2 linked regions of the Notamacropus eugenii genome follow. The protein of the gene in region 1 purifies or fractionates together with the protein of each later gene. This does not show direct contact. Links are inferred from orthologs where the notes say so. Each region holds a gene or a part of one and is shown on either strand. Other genes may lie near its edges.

The links. Proteins that work in one complex are often made in the same cells at the same time.
Region 2: the proteins of OCRL (region 1) and RAB1A purify together in Homo sapiens (co-immunoprecipitation; 3 studies listed by BioGRID and IntAct, with this or other methods). This does not show direct contact. The link is inferred for Notamacropus eugenii from reciprocal best matches to the Homo sapiens genes OCRL and RAB1A.

Annotation. Positions count from the first base shown.
Region 1 is NC_092879.1:51,287,891-51,295,433, forward strand, and holds the start of OCRL (inositol polyphosphate 5-phosphatase OCRL), read left to right. Parts: upstream 1-4,442; 5' UTR 4,443-4,630; coding exon 4,631-4,666; intron 4,667-4,904; coding exon 4,905-4,984; intron 4,985-7,543. UniProt on the Homo sapiens protein: Catalyzes the hydrolysis of the 5-position phosphate of phosphatidylinositol 4,5-bisphosphate (PtdIns(4,5)P2) and phosphatidylinositol-3,4,5-bisphosphate (PtdIns(3,4,5)P3), with the greatest catalytic activity towards PtdIns(4,5)P2.
Region 2 is NC_092872.1:639,183,787-639,190,872, reverse strand, and holds the start of RAB1A (ras-related protein Rab-1A), read right to left. Parts: upstream 3,056-7,086; 5' UTR 1,738-3,055; coding exon 1,715-1,737; intron 1-1,714. UniProt on the Homo sapiens protein: The small GTPases Rab are key regulators of intracellular membrane trafficking, from the formation of transport vesicles to their fusion with membranes.

The sequences.
Region 1 (7,543 bases):
GGACCAAGTGAAAACAGTCCAGTTTTTAATGAATTTTTATTTCTCACACTATTTCTCACCGCTAAAGCTGAGGATCTGAGTTAGGCTCTCTCTGTCAAGAGTCCTTCAGAGGAGGCAGAACTCTTAAGGCTTAATACAGACCTGCACAACTTGACAGGTAGGGGCCAAAATTAAAATAGGCTAAACTTCTTTGGGCCATAACTTTCCAAGTGAAAGTATAAATTAATGATTAACCTATTTTGCAAATAAAACATTTTTTAAAAAGGAAATTTCAATTAATTTTAAACCTTAAACTTCAAAGTTTTCCTTTATCATGAAATCACTCCTCTCAGACTAGAGACAGACTGATTGCCACAGGTCATGTGACAAACAGGAGAGAGTGAACAGTGGCAAAAGTTACATGACAGGCACAAATAATAATGACTAGTGGAAGGGTGGATTCTTTTATATCCTTCATAGACCACCCAAAACCCTTTGGCAAGCCACAAGTGGCCCATGGGCCATATGGTATGCAGGCTTAAGATAGCCTAGACCAATTCGTATTGCAGTCTTGACGAAAGTGATCTGCCCCCTCTATTCCCTAGCTTTCCACATCTATGATCCGGTTAAGGTTTTCCTTCTTAGTTTGATATCTGACAGTTATCTAACTGTCAGGAATCTAACATAGCAGCTGCAGCAGGGAAAATGTTAAATATCCTTTCCTCAATCTTGATGATAGCTTTAAAATGCTATTGTGTGTGTCCCATCAGCTTCAACTCACGGCAGAGGGTGGGCCTACTTGGAACACTGTCACTGTGTTTCATCCTTGGTCCTTTCTTCATCTTTGCAAAATATTGAGCTCATGAGTGAGGCCTCCTAAAGTGCCATTAAAGAAATATTACATTTGCTCTTTTTAGGCCAGTGTAGAAAAGGAAGTTGGTGGGAATGGAACAGTGTAGGGAAGGAAGGAGGAAGAGAGGGAGGGGGGGTGAATAGGGGTGGTAGTGTCAAAAAAAAGAATGCTTATCTTAAGTAATTGCAATCATATTTTAATTATAGTTATATTTAACTATATTTTAATTATATTAAACAATTTTGTGCCTTGTGGTCTTGTTGTTCAGTTGTGTCTGGGTTTTTGGGGTTTTTTTCAACTAAGATAACCGGAGGGTTTGCCATTTTTTAAGGACTCCAGCTCATTTGACAGATGAAGAAACTGAGGCAAAACAGGCCTAGGGTCACATAGCTAATAAATGTCTGAGGCAGAAGAAGTCTGCCTGACTTCAGGCTGGGCACTCTATCCATTTTGCCACCTAGGCCCCTCTTATCTTTCCCAATAGATGTAACCTCTTAAAAAAATTTTAGTTGATATCTTTGGTTTGCATATCACTTAGATTTTCCCCTGTATCCTTGCTTTCACTCCCTACCCCCAAGAATTGTAATTCTTTAAAGGACTGACTTTTATCTACTAGTTCAACCCTGGAGATACCCAAAAAACTTTTTTTTTGACCATCTATGAACCAAGGGGCAACCCAGACTCTGCTTTGATTATTTCCAGGAACAGGGAAATTTCCATTTTTGGACAGCTTAGTCTAATGGGTCATTTGATGTTACAATTATGACTCAGTTGATTGAGTTATTAAATAACTATGCATTTAAACATTTGAAAATTTTCTGTATTCAATTGAGGGGCATCTACACAAGTTGAAGCCCTGCCTTCAGAGAGATTACAATATTGAGGTCCAATTCTATTCCTGGAACTTTCCCATCTCTTCTATTCACTTCTCCTTAAGCAATAATCCTGCTGTGATGCTGCTCACGTCCCTCTGCTGTCTCTGGACATTTGTCAAACCCTAAATTCCCCATAAAATGAACTAAATACAATACTCCAGGTGTGGTGAGACCAACGTAGAGGACAAGTTTAGGACATTCTTCTCCCTCCCTTTTTCTGGATGCTCCCCTCCCCCACTTTAAGTCACTGCAGTCCAAGATGATATATCAGTTTTTTTTTTCTTTCTCGCAGATGTCTATCTCATGGTTAAAATTCATAATGAACTCAGGCAAAATGCCCATCTTTTTTCCCTTCTTTTTTCCCACACAGACATCCAGGCCATGTTTATTCTCATGTCAAGAAATGGCAGTTATTTTTTTTTATCCTTTCAAAGTTAAGAACTTCCCATTTTATTCAAGTCCCAGTGGTAAGCAGGTCTCCTCACTGCTTCCTGCCTTCCGAGAAAATAAATGATCCATCTAGACAAGACTTTATCAGACTCTGCTTTGAACATAACTGAGACTTTAACACAAATCCTGTTGAATTCAGGGAGTTTAATCCCCATAATAGTTCTATATATGTATTTTTACGGAAAGCATAGCATATGGATAGAGAGTCAGTTCTGGAGTCAAGAAAGGATCTGAGGCCATTTGTACCACCCCTCATATAGACATACTGGCTATGTTGCTCCTATGACCCTGAGTGTGACACAAATAGGACAAATTTTTTAGTGCCCCAACTTTTTAGTGCCACATTGTTTTTGCACTGGTGTAGTTTCCTGTAACTGGTATAATATTGAATAAATAAAAGGGGAAGGGGGAGGAGGGGAAGGGATGCCAGGCCTGTGATATTATTATAGAGTAGGGATTCCCATGTGGAAAACTGTGACACTTGATCTGAGTGTCTATTTTTCCACTCCAGTAAAGCCCCTGGAAGGCAAAGGTTGCTGGGGTTTTTTGTTTTGTTTTTTTTTTTAAATTACTTTCTTTTGTATCAATCCCAGCTCACTACTATGCATATAACAGGCAAGTCAGATTTTAACTCATTGACATTTCTGTTTCTCCAGACTGGGCTTCCTCCTCCCTCCACATCAAAACAGCCCAGTTTTGTTTCTTTTTCTTTTTCCCCCTGTTTTTAGGGAAGATTATCTGGTTGCTGGGGGCAAGGAGAAGAGAGAGAGACCAGGGTAGGAGGGAATTTGAGTAATGGGAGGATGTGGGATGTGGATGGGTGGGTGTTGGGGCGCAGTAAGAAAGGGGAGGGAGACTCCACAGGATTTTCCAGATGGGATCACCAAGACCTTAGTGATTAGAAAAGGCGGGGATAAATATGACCAGAGTTTGGGGGGTGGGGCAGGAAGGAGGGGATAAAGACATTTATGTAAACTCAAATGGGGGGGGGGGGTTAGTACACACACAGATAACTATGCTATTTAAGAGATGATGATAAATGCAGCGGTGTGAGGTACCCCAAGTGTGGTTTGAGCTGGGGGTGGGGGTGGAGGTGCTAGACAGAAAGGGATGATGGTTTTAGAAAATAAGCTAGAACATTTTTACCTGCTGGCAGAACGTTGTCACTCTAGTACCGTAGAAATTCGTTAGCCAGAATAAATTAAACTAGGAACCGAGCAGAGCAAGGAACTGGTTCTTCCTCTCCCCACCCTCAAGTCGGCGGGCGATGGGCCCAGGTGGGGGGTCTGAAGTGTTTACACTCTCCTACAGGGTGGGGGTTCTCTCCACCATTGCTCAGAGGGCTGGGAAGTCGGCTTGCCTTGGGAAATGCTCAGGATTGCCGGTTTACTGGGCTGCCCTGGACAACAGCGGGAAAGAACCAGGCAGAGGGCACTTGAGCAGCAGGAGAGGAGAAAGGTGGGCGAGCGCCTGCTTGTGCGCGCGCGCGCGCGCCTTTTCAAAGGCCCTCAGGGCATCATTAAACACATTCGAATCACAGAACAGACTGTCAAAATGGAAATGATCAGATTTAGGGATCCTGGATCCTAGAAATGGAAGGGACCTCAGACCTTGTCTAACCCAAGCCCCATAATCATACAAGGCTGTACAGTAAACATCAGAGGGTCTTGCAGAGCTAACATTCTTGCCTCTAGGTTCCACGGGGTCATTTTCCTCCAAGTCTCTTTGGTTAATTTAATTAGCACAGTACCATCCTGGCACTTTTTGGGGAGGTGGGGATGTGGCGGATGGGGGGAGGGGAGAACCTACCAATGAATAATTTCATCTGTGTATCTCTGGTGAAGGAACCTCATCTACCAAAGCACATGGGCCCTTTTGAAACAGCCTGATTTCGAGGTGCCTAGGGCGGTCCAATGGATGAGTGGCGAAATATCACCCAGGGTCACCCAGCCAGCTATACAGTAGCTGAGTTAGAACAGGAAAGTTAGGCTTTCCAAGCTCTTTTTACTCGTCTGTGCACGGATAACTGGAAGGGCCCCAGGTTGGAGAGGATGATCTAGGGCGTCCATTGTCGTTTCATTGAAAGCCTGCGATCTCAGCAGATGGCTGGCTGGCTGGCTTCCCAGCGGGGAGCCGCGGCCGAGGCTCGAGACTCCGGCTCTGCAGTGGCGGCACTAGAGCACGCGGGGGCGCCGTTGGCGGAGGGCGGAGCCCTGCGCGCAGGGAGGCGCTCGCTCCCTCTCACGCTCACTGGCTCTCGTTCTCTCTGCTGTCCGCTCGGGGCGCTCTCTCGCAGTAGGAGCGCGGGAGCTCTCTGGGCAGCTGTTAATTTCTTCCGGCAGACCAGGCGAAGCGGGGCCGCCCGGCTGGCGGGCCGTCAGGCAAGCGGAGGAGGGCTGCCGATTGGGTGGTCGGGTTCACACCGTGCGATCGGTGTTCACAACCCCCGGCGCCGGTCCGCTCGCCCGCCCGGATGGATCGGCCCACGACCAGAGTGCAGTTCCTCACAGTATCCACCTCTGGGAAGGGCGAGGGGCGAGGGCCAAGTCAAGGGGGAGGCGGAGGAGGGAGGGGGAGCCCGGGAAAGAAGGGGGGTCGGTCGTTGTCGCCCTCGCTATCGCACGCAGGCGGGGCGGCGGCCGTGACCGAAACGGGGGTCGGGCGGGGCTGGGGCGGGAGCGCGCCCCCCTCCCGAGGCACCCCTGCCTTGGCTTTGAGCTTGGATTCCTTGACTGTCCCCCCTTCATACAATCGAGGGCTGGGAGTTGAAGGGCCCCGAACGAGAGGCCTGCCGCTTGATCCTGGCTCGAAGGGGCGCACAGTCTGAGTAAGTAGCCTCGGGATCGGGCTAGGGAGGAGGGAAATCCTCTGGGCCCTGGGTACCCCCGGCAGGCAGGGACTATTCCGCCAGTGCCAGGCGGTCAGCCTCGGCCACCACCGGGCGCGGCGCCCGGGCCCAGGGTGAAGAGCAGTGCCTTCCGAGGGCTGGGCGGGGCCGGGAGATGGGAGAAGGGTTGAGGGAGGGGTAGGAGAATTGGGGAGGGGGGACCCTGGGTGGGGGGGGGAGAGGAGAATGGGAGGAATATTGAGGGGAGGAGGATGGTGGGGGACGAAGGAGGATGGGGAGGAGCAGGAGGGGAACCTGTGGAAGGCCCTTTTAAGAGCCCCTAGGGTTGTGCCCCAGTATAAGGACGCGCCCCCCCCCCCCGCCCCCCGTAGAATTAAGGATCTGGGAGGGGCTCTATTCCTAAAATCGTCTTTTTAGAGTAGAGGCAACCTCAAAGGTCTTTGATCCCAACCCAATCATTTTACACGAGGAAACTGAGGCCTAGAGACATTAAATGACTTGCTCAGGGAGTCACTAAAGTGTCTGAGACAAGATTGGAATCCAAGTTTTCCTGACTCTAAGTCCAGAGCTTTGTCCATGTTACAAATCTTACTGCCAACCTCATTCTACTGAGAGATAAGGGGGGCTCAGGGAAAGGATCATAGATGTAATGATAATAGTTGCAATAATTACAATAATATTATCTCATTTGATCTTCATAACAGCCCTGGGTGGAAAGTGCTGTTATTATCCCCATTTTACAAATACGGAAACTGAGGCAAACATTGATTATTTGCTCAAGGTCACATGTGGCTAGAAAGTGTCTTAGGCAGGATTAAAACCAGGGTATTCCCTGGGTTTTCCCCACCTCCTAGCATGGTGCTGTGGTTATATCTAGCTGCCTAGATTTAGAACCAGAAGGGAGCTCCAATGGGCCCCTATAGAGACAGTCCAGGTCCCCTTTATTTTCCAGAGGAGGAAACTGAGTGATGGCGGGAGAGAGAGGAGCTACCATACCAAAGGTCTCAAAAGTAGCAGAGTTGGAGATAAAGAACTCTAGAAAGAATCCAATTCTTTAATGTTACAGAGCAGAAAACTAAGGCCAGAAGTAAAGAATGCCCTGCTCTGCCACTGACCTATTTGGCCTTGTCACTTCATCCTAGTAATAATAAGAACAAATTACTTTTCTCTATCTCCCCCGCTTCCTTTTCTCTTTTGTATGGTCTTGTGATTTCATAAAGAACTCTGCACAAGGTAACTCCCTCTACCATGAGAAATCAGTCCAGCTCTGAATCCTAAATCCTGAGAAAGTTGATCATCTTGAGTGACTTGCTCAGGGTGATGAAACTTCTATGTTATAGAAGGGACTTTGAACCCAGGTCTTTCTGACTCATCTCTGGGCCAGCTCCAAAGACTTGGGCCTTTTTATATCGCCTTATGATTTAGTGCTTCCCTCATGCTCTTGTGAGGTGGGTAATACAAATATCCCCATTTTACAAGTGAGGAAACTGAGGCTTAGGAAGAGGACAAGTCACATAATGATAACATCTGATATTCCTGTAGCGTTTGAAGCTTTATTGATTTTACAGGTAAAGAAACAGGCTCAAAAAGAGGGTACCTCACTCACTTTTATCATAATAGTAGTATCTGACTTCTTTGTTGCCTTTAAAGGCAACAGCCCTACAAGATAAATGGTGCAAGTATCATCATTCCCATTTTTCAGGGGAAGAAACTGAGGATTAGAACTGGAAAGTGACTTTCCCAAGGTCACAGAGTAAGAGGCAGGGCCAAAATTCAACCCCCAGTCTCCTCATGCAGATTTAATATTTTTTCCACTATATCATCTCCATCTCTTTAAGCTCTTGTTTCCCATGTCGTGGTAGTGAGAATAATAGCAGCTCTCCACCTTGCTTGGTCTTTTCAGTGTATGGTGGATAAAATGAGATAATAGATGGGAAAATGTTTAGGAAAGGATTAAATAAAAGTACCTTAGAAAATGCTGTTTTGTTACTTTTAACAGACTAGGCTTTGCCTTCTTTAATTCTGTACAACTTAATCCCCACTTGCAACCGTTGATGAGAAAATTAGGAACTCCTTTAAATGGAGGCTTTTGATGCCAGAATAGTGGCTTTAGACATTACCACTTTAATAATTTGACCTAGGGGTCACATGGCCAGTGTAAGTATCAGAGCTTGGGACTCAAGCCCAGGTCTCCTGGTGCTTCCCCCTCCTACTAAGCTAGGACTAATAAATAACTCTCCCTCTGAGTGACTTGGGGACAAATACTCTTAGTAGCTTCGAACAGCATGAAGTGGGAGTTTGATAAATTATCAATGACTGATCAAAAGAACACTCTAGTGAGCTGACCATGTGGCTGCCAGCTTTCATACCATTGCCACCTTATCCGTACTCAAAATAGCTCTCGTAGTGACCACAGTCATCAGCATTACCTGTGCCAAGGGCTCTAACTGTTCCCCTAGTCAGAACCTTCTGAGGTCTTCATGGCGTTCATTAAACATCACGTTCACTCTGAGCTGGCTGACTCTTTGGCAGCCAGGT
Region 2 (7,086 bases), on another chromosome or scaffold:
CTCTTAACTACTTTTACATAAACTGAATCTTGCGTAAGGAGCGCCCTAAGCAGCAAGGCAACCAACTTCTAAAGCAATGGCTAATCAGTGTTTCTGACTGTGGCCAAGAAACTGCTAAGGAGTAGTTAAGGACACTAGTCAACTCTGCAATTTTGTTTTCTTGGGGCCCCTTTTCCTAGAACTTTGTAAGGAAAGGTGAAACTGCAAGACTGCAAATCAACTAGCTACATCTTAAAATATGCAGAATTCGAATCAAATATGATGCCTTCTCTGCAATTTAATACAAACCAAAGGAAACATTTCAGTACCAAACCACAGTGTTACAAAACCTGCAGTCAGAATGCATTTTGCAAGAGCCATGTGACACACACATGACTGTCAGCTAAGCTGATGGGTTGACCAGAGGGGAAGGGGATAGGAGTACAGGGAATTTAGCAGTAGAACTTCAAATTTTAAGAAAACACTCTAACATTAATCTTTCCTTCTGACATACCGGTTTATTTTAAAAGCATCCATTTCAATCACATCGTTACTATTTGAGTAATTTTACATGTATTGAGGGGAGGAAATTGGGGGGTTTGGGGAAGAACGACAGAATTTTCCCAAGAAAAGTGAATTCCAGTTACTAGGAAAGGTGCCAAGTATGTCACATCTGCTGTCGCTGCTTCTCAATTAAGCAAGAAAAAGAAATGCATTAACTTTTCATGACACGTCATGAAACCTCATTCCTTATCTGCAATCATTCAGGTAAGGTAATCCAAAACTTGCAGATCCACCAGTTTCTCTCTCTACTATAACTGTAAGGATGAGGACAGGGACAAGACCTGTGATTTCAGCAGCACCCGGAACTCTTAAGGGAAGAAACTCCCTCTCCCCACACAGGCTAGCACCTCCTGGGCAACTCTAAGGGGCTCGGAGAGCGGCGTGCCCGGGGGCCCAAGGGTCAGCGCGGAGGCCGGCTCTCCATCACCCTCAGGGTGACAGGCTGCCACACTCGGCTCGTCTGACACGGTGACGACGGGGAGGTGCGCTTGTGCCTGAGGTTTTCCTTGGGTCCTACAGAGAAGTGTTTCAGAGGCGATGGAGTCCTTCCGGCCCGAGTGACCAGGTCCTCAGGAGGGTTTTGGCTCCTCCAGAACACAGGCTCGGAGAAGTAGGGGCATTTTAAGAGCCCCTCTCCTCTCCCCACGGTCCCTGAGGAGCGTCCATGTTCACCTGCCGCCTGGCGGGGCCCCAAGGAAGGAAGGCAAAACAAGCTCCGGAGAAGCGGAGCCGTTCCCCTCTCCTGCGGGGGGCTGACAGCACCCCACCCCGGCCCCCCCGAAGTACCCACCCGCTTCGCGGAAGTCACCTCTCTCAGAGAAAAGAAGCCCTCAGCGGGCCCTCCGAGGCAGCCTCTCACAACCCCCCTTTCCTTCCCGGGCCTGCTTCGGGGAGCCTCCATTTCACCGGACCCCGCCCCCCCCTCGGGTCTTGCGGCTCCCTCTCAGCCGCACCCCCTCCGCCGTCAGACAATGGGGCCCGCCAGGTCCGGCTCGGCCCGGCTCGGAGCGGCGGGCCTCGCTCGGCTGCGCGCCGGTGGCCTACGGCTCGGCTCGGCCCGGCTCCGCATCGCCTGGCCCGGGCCCTGCGCTCCTCCTCTTCTTGCCCGGTGCCCGCCCCTCACCGCCCGGCCCAGCCTCGGCCTCGGTCCCGCTCCCGGCCCCTCACTCACTATTCGGGATTCATGCTGGACATGTCACTGCAGCTGCCGCCGCCGCCGCCGCCACCTCCGCCCTTGGTACTGCTGCTACTACCGCCGCTGCCGCCTTGATTCTCCGCGCCCGGAACCGACGAAAAGGAATGAGAAAGTCCGTTCCGGGAGAGCAAACGTCTACCCCCCTCCGCACCCAGTGAACACAATCAGCTGCCACTGCCGCCGCCGCTTCTGCCGCTCGACTCTCGCTTCCACCCAAAATGGCCGCCGCCGAACCAGGAAATAGGGAAGCCTCAGACCGAAGGGCCTTTACACAGCCCAGAGGGCGGCCGCACCGCACTGCATGCCGGGCAAGATAGTCCAGGCGCGCGCCTGGGGGCCCCGCAGCCAGATGGTTTGGCAAGACGGCTGGGACTCGCTTTCCCGACGAGCCCGGCTCCTTTGGCGCATGCGCATTGAGGGAGCTGTTGACCACCCCACTTTACCCCACTTCCCCCCCCTTTCCTCTCCCTTCCCGACCGTCTCTCGGGAGAAGGCTCCGCTCTGACTCCCCCTAGCGGATTGGCTAAAACTGAGCGGCCTCGGTGATGTCATCAGTGAAACGTGGCAGCTGGGCGAGTCAGCGACCTAAAGGAGAGGGGGAGGTGTCAAGGGAGGGGCTGAACTGCGGGAGAGGGGTGGGGCGAGAAGCGAGGGGCGGGGAAGAGGAAGGGAGAAAGGAGCCGGGAGGAAGGAAGAAAAGGGAAGGGTCCAGCTGGAGAGGAAACCCAAGGGGGAGAAAGCTTTAGAACGGCCGCTGAGTGGGAAGCCGCCCTGAGCCGGCTCGCTCTAGGGCCTTAATAGACGATCCCTAGGAAAAGACTTTGAAAGGGGCTGGGAGCAAAGGCGATGCCCCGGTGGCTCTGCGGCGCCGCGGGGAACTCTGGAATTGTGTTCGGGTCGGACCGCAGCGGTCCTGACTCCTCCCTCCCCCGCCCCCACCTCGGAGCAGACACGGTCTCCGAAGTCTCCTCTCCAGTCCGCCGGCCTCTCCCTGGTCTAGGTGGTCCGGTCGGGGCCTCTGATACGCTATGAGCTGGCTGACCTTGGGCCAGTCTCAAGCCTCAGTTTCCTTATCTGTAAAATGGGGACTATTTGCCCATCTGGGTTGATGGGAGGTAGCTCTTTGTACACCTTAAGAACCTAGGAGTTATGGCCTTTAATGATCAAGACCAATATTTTAAAAAAATTGTATATAACATATTTTTTCAATTAGCAATAATCTGCCTTCTCACCCTTCTACTCCAACCCTCTCCCCCCCCACGCACACTTGTGAACTAAAGAACAAATCCTGTTACATATAGCCAATAAAAACAATTCCCACACTGACCGTGTCCTTTAATAAAATTGTCTCGTTTTACACTCTGAATCCTTTTTTTTTCCTTCTGAAACCTCTATCAGGATGTGGATAGCATGTTTCATCATTAGTCCTCTGGAACTGTGGTTAGTTATTAGCTGATAAGAGTTCCCGGTTCTTTCTCCACCTTCATTTAACAACACATGAGGGAAGTTGCTTATATCATGCTATAAATTGTTCTGTTTCGGTTCACTTGGCATCAGTTCATACAAGTCTTCCCAGGGTTCTCTGAAACCATCCCCTTCAACGCTTCTTACAACACAATGGTATTCCAAAACATCATAATTTGTTCATCCATTCCCCAATTTATGGGTGCCCCCTCTGATTCCCATTCTTTGCCACCTCAAGAGAACTTTAAATATTTTTGTACAAATTTAGAATTTGTTTTGCTTAAAACTAACCCCTCCCTTAATCTACCCTTCTTCCAATTTTCCCTCTCTACTTCTCCCCTTTCGCTCCTATGTTGAATAAACTATATTTCTGTAAGCAGATGTATGTGTGTGTATGTTCTTCCCCATTCAGATGAGAGTGAAATTGAAGTGTGAGATGTTCTCTCCTCCTCTCTTCTTTGTTTCTGTAGATATCTATTTGTACACCCTAATTATGTCAGATAATTTTCCCTAATCTTCCTTCCCCTCCTCTATTCTCTTACCTTCTCTTTCCATTTTTCTCTTAAGGTCAAGAGGTAACAGAACTGCTCCTAGACTTTGTAGAGTTAGACTCCCTTTATGAACCCTGATGATAATAAGGTTCAGAGGGTATACATATATCACCTGTCTATAATAGAATGTAAGCAGTTAAGTCTTTGTTTAGGCAATTATCATTGTTTGTTCATATTGACCTTTTTATGTTTCTCTTACCTCCTGCATTTGAACTTCAAAGTTTCTATACTGACCTTTTCATTAGGAATGCTTAGAAATCCTTTATTTCATTACAGATCCATTGCCCCCCTTGTTGCATTATATGCATTTTGCTGGGCAAGTTATTCTTAGCCTCTAATTCTTTTCCTTCTGGGTGCTAAATCCTGTGTGATCCTAACTGTTTGGTATTTTAAATCTTGCTTTCCGGCTGCTTGTTGGATTTTTTTCTTCAATCTGGAAACTTCGGGGTTTGCTGTGATGTAGCTGGGAAATTTCATTTGGGAGCTTATTTCAGAAGGGAACTGGTGGATTATTCTTATATCTACTTTCTACAAGATGTGGTCACTTACCTTTTTTTTCACTCATGGTGTTCAGATAGTCTAATCTTCAATTTTTTCTACTCTTTTGTAGGTCAATTGTTTTCATTTTGAGCTACTTTATATTTTCTTCTATTTTTCAACCTTTTGATTTTGTTTTATCATCTCATTGTTTCATGGAGTTATTGGTTTCTTTTTAGTCCATTTTATTTTTCAGGGAGTTTGTTGCTCAGACAAGGTTTTATACTTCTTGTCCCACACTGTTAATTCCCTTTTCCAATCCTTTCAGAAATTTAATTTCTTTTCCATTTTTTTCTTCAAGCTTTTACTCCATTAATAAAAGCATCTCTCTCTGTCTCTCAGTCTGTCTCCCCCTCCCCCCCAGCAACACTACCCTTGTGTGTAGGACTGTGACCTAAAAAAGTGTAGTAGGCAACACAGATTTCAGTGGGCACCCGTTCCCATTACACTCCCCTAGTATGGATCTGGAGGTGCCTAGTTTAGGTCTGGGATCCCCTCTTGCCCTGAGACACAGTCTCTCCTTGGATGCTCTTTTCCTAACTTTATCACTCTCTATAGGAATCCTTTGTTTCAGTAAGATTGATATCCTTGTTCCTTCCCTGAGTATGCATTACCCACTCCAGGCAACTGGTCTTCGCTCACTAATTCTCTTGGCTAGGCCTTTCTCTAATTTCTATTCCCTTTTCTACCTCCACCTTGAAGACTTCTTTAACTACTCCAGCTAACTTCTGTATTCTCTAACCATTTAAAGAAAGCACCACTTATATGTACCAGCCACTAGGTACTTTATAATATAGGATGTCCCAAAAGTCTTAGTGTACTTTAAAGCTTTACTAATTCTCTTGAGCCTGTCAAGTAAGCAAGGAATTGCCTGCTATGGAAGGGTGGGAGGAAACAACCATTTGTTAGGCACATATTACATGCCAGGTACCCTGTTAAGTGTGCTTTACAAATATTATCTAATTTGATCCTCACAACAACCCTGAGAGGTAGGTATTATTAAATCATTTTATAGCTGACAGAGGTTGTCTATCTAAAGTAGACAGGTTAATTGAGTTGCTCAGATTCACCCAGGCAGTAACTAACTGAGGTCAATTTTGAATTCATGTCTTCCTGACTCCAAGGCCAATGCTATTACCTAGCTGCCTAGTCCCAGGCTTCTTGGGTCCTCCACTCCGTCCTCCTCCCTCCTAGTATGCTCCGTGACCTCCTGTAACTCCACCTCTACTAGGCCCCTCACCTGAGCCTGTAACCACTTACATACCTCCCTCTGTCAATGATTAACAAATTCCTATCCAGTCATACTCTCCCCATCACCATGACTCTGAACCATTGAAATCCACGTTCTGATTTGTTCAAATCCATTCTGATGATCTGGGTGGCACAGTGAATAGAGAGCAGGGCTTGGAGTCAGGAAGACCTGAATTCAAATGTGTCCTCAGACACTTGTGTGTTTGTCCTTCGCTGTCAAAGAAGACCAGGCCATCAGAGAACTAATGATGCGACTTGCACTTGACTTTGCCCTAGGCAAGTCACTTAACCCTGTCTGCCCCAGTTTTCTCATCTATAAAATGGATATATTCATAGCACCCATCTCCTAAGGTCATTGTGAGGATCAAATGAGATGAGATTTGTAAAGTGCTTAACACAGTGCCTGACACATGGAACTCTATAAATGTTAACTTCTATTACTACTATTATCATTATTTCCATCTTCTGCAATCCAACTGTCCCCATCCCTCAATGTACCACTCGAAACCTACCTCCCTCCTTCCACTGTGTTCTTTGGAATATCCACTCCAGAAGTAACAACTTGCTTTCATTTTAAACCCTTTCCTTTCTCACTCCTTTGGTCTACAGAAACTTACTGAGATCTGACTCCCTCCTAATAACACAGCTTCTCTGGCCCCCCTTTTCCACACTAACTGCCCTTTCATTTATACCCCAACTAATCATGGTAGGGGAATTAGAATACTCATTGCTCCCTATTGTCACTTCTAGGCTCTCCATTGATCATTAAGTAAACGTCTCCTTTGAGGTTCACTGAATCTATATTTGCTACCAATCAAGAGTCTGGCAGCTGTTATTTACCAACTTCAAGGACACCCTCCTCTCTTAAATGACTTCAGTGCCTGGATCACAGTCTCTTTCTCTGTCTCTCTCCCTCTCCTGCCCCGCTTCCCCAATTCCTACCCTCACACTAGGGGAATTCAACATACACTCTGATATTGCCCAAAACACCCTAACCTTCCAGTTCCTCAAATTTGCACATTTCCTATGCCTGCTTCTCCATCTGACCTCAAGTACACACAGACGTGGTCATACCCTTGATTAAGCCATCTCCCACATGTATGTTCATGAACTTCCATGTTTAGGAATTCTGAAATTCCTTTATCGGATCACAGCCTGTTGTCATTTCATCTCTTCCCCTGCCTTGCAATCCCAAACACTATTCTTTGTCCTCATTGCAACCTCGAATCCTTCTACCCCTCAGCCTCTTTCCATGGCTATCACCCCTTATACTCACTATACTCTCCTACTTTCCCCATCTTGACCCCCTGGGAAACCAATTCAAGTCCTCACAGTCATCTTTCTCTTATTCTATTGAAGATCTTGACCTTCCAGGCCTTAGCTCTGGATACTCCCACCATCCAACACCTTTTCTCCTCCTCTTGTGCTGCTAAACTAAGCTGAAGGAAATCATGAAACCCTGCTGACTGGGTTCACTACAAATTTATATGTAAAATCTCAGGTGGGCCTTTTTTTGCCTCAGCAAGGCAATACTTTTACACCTCC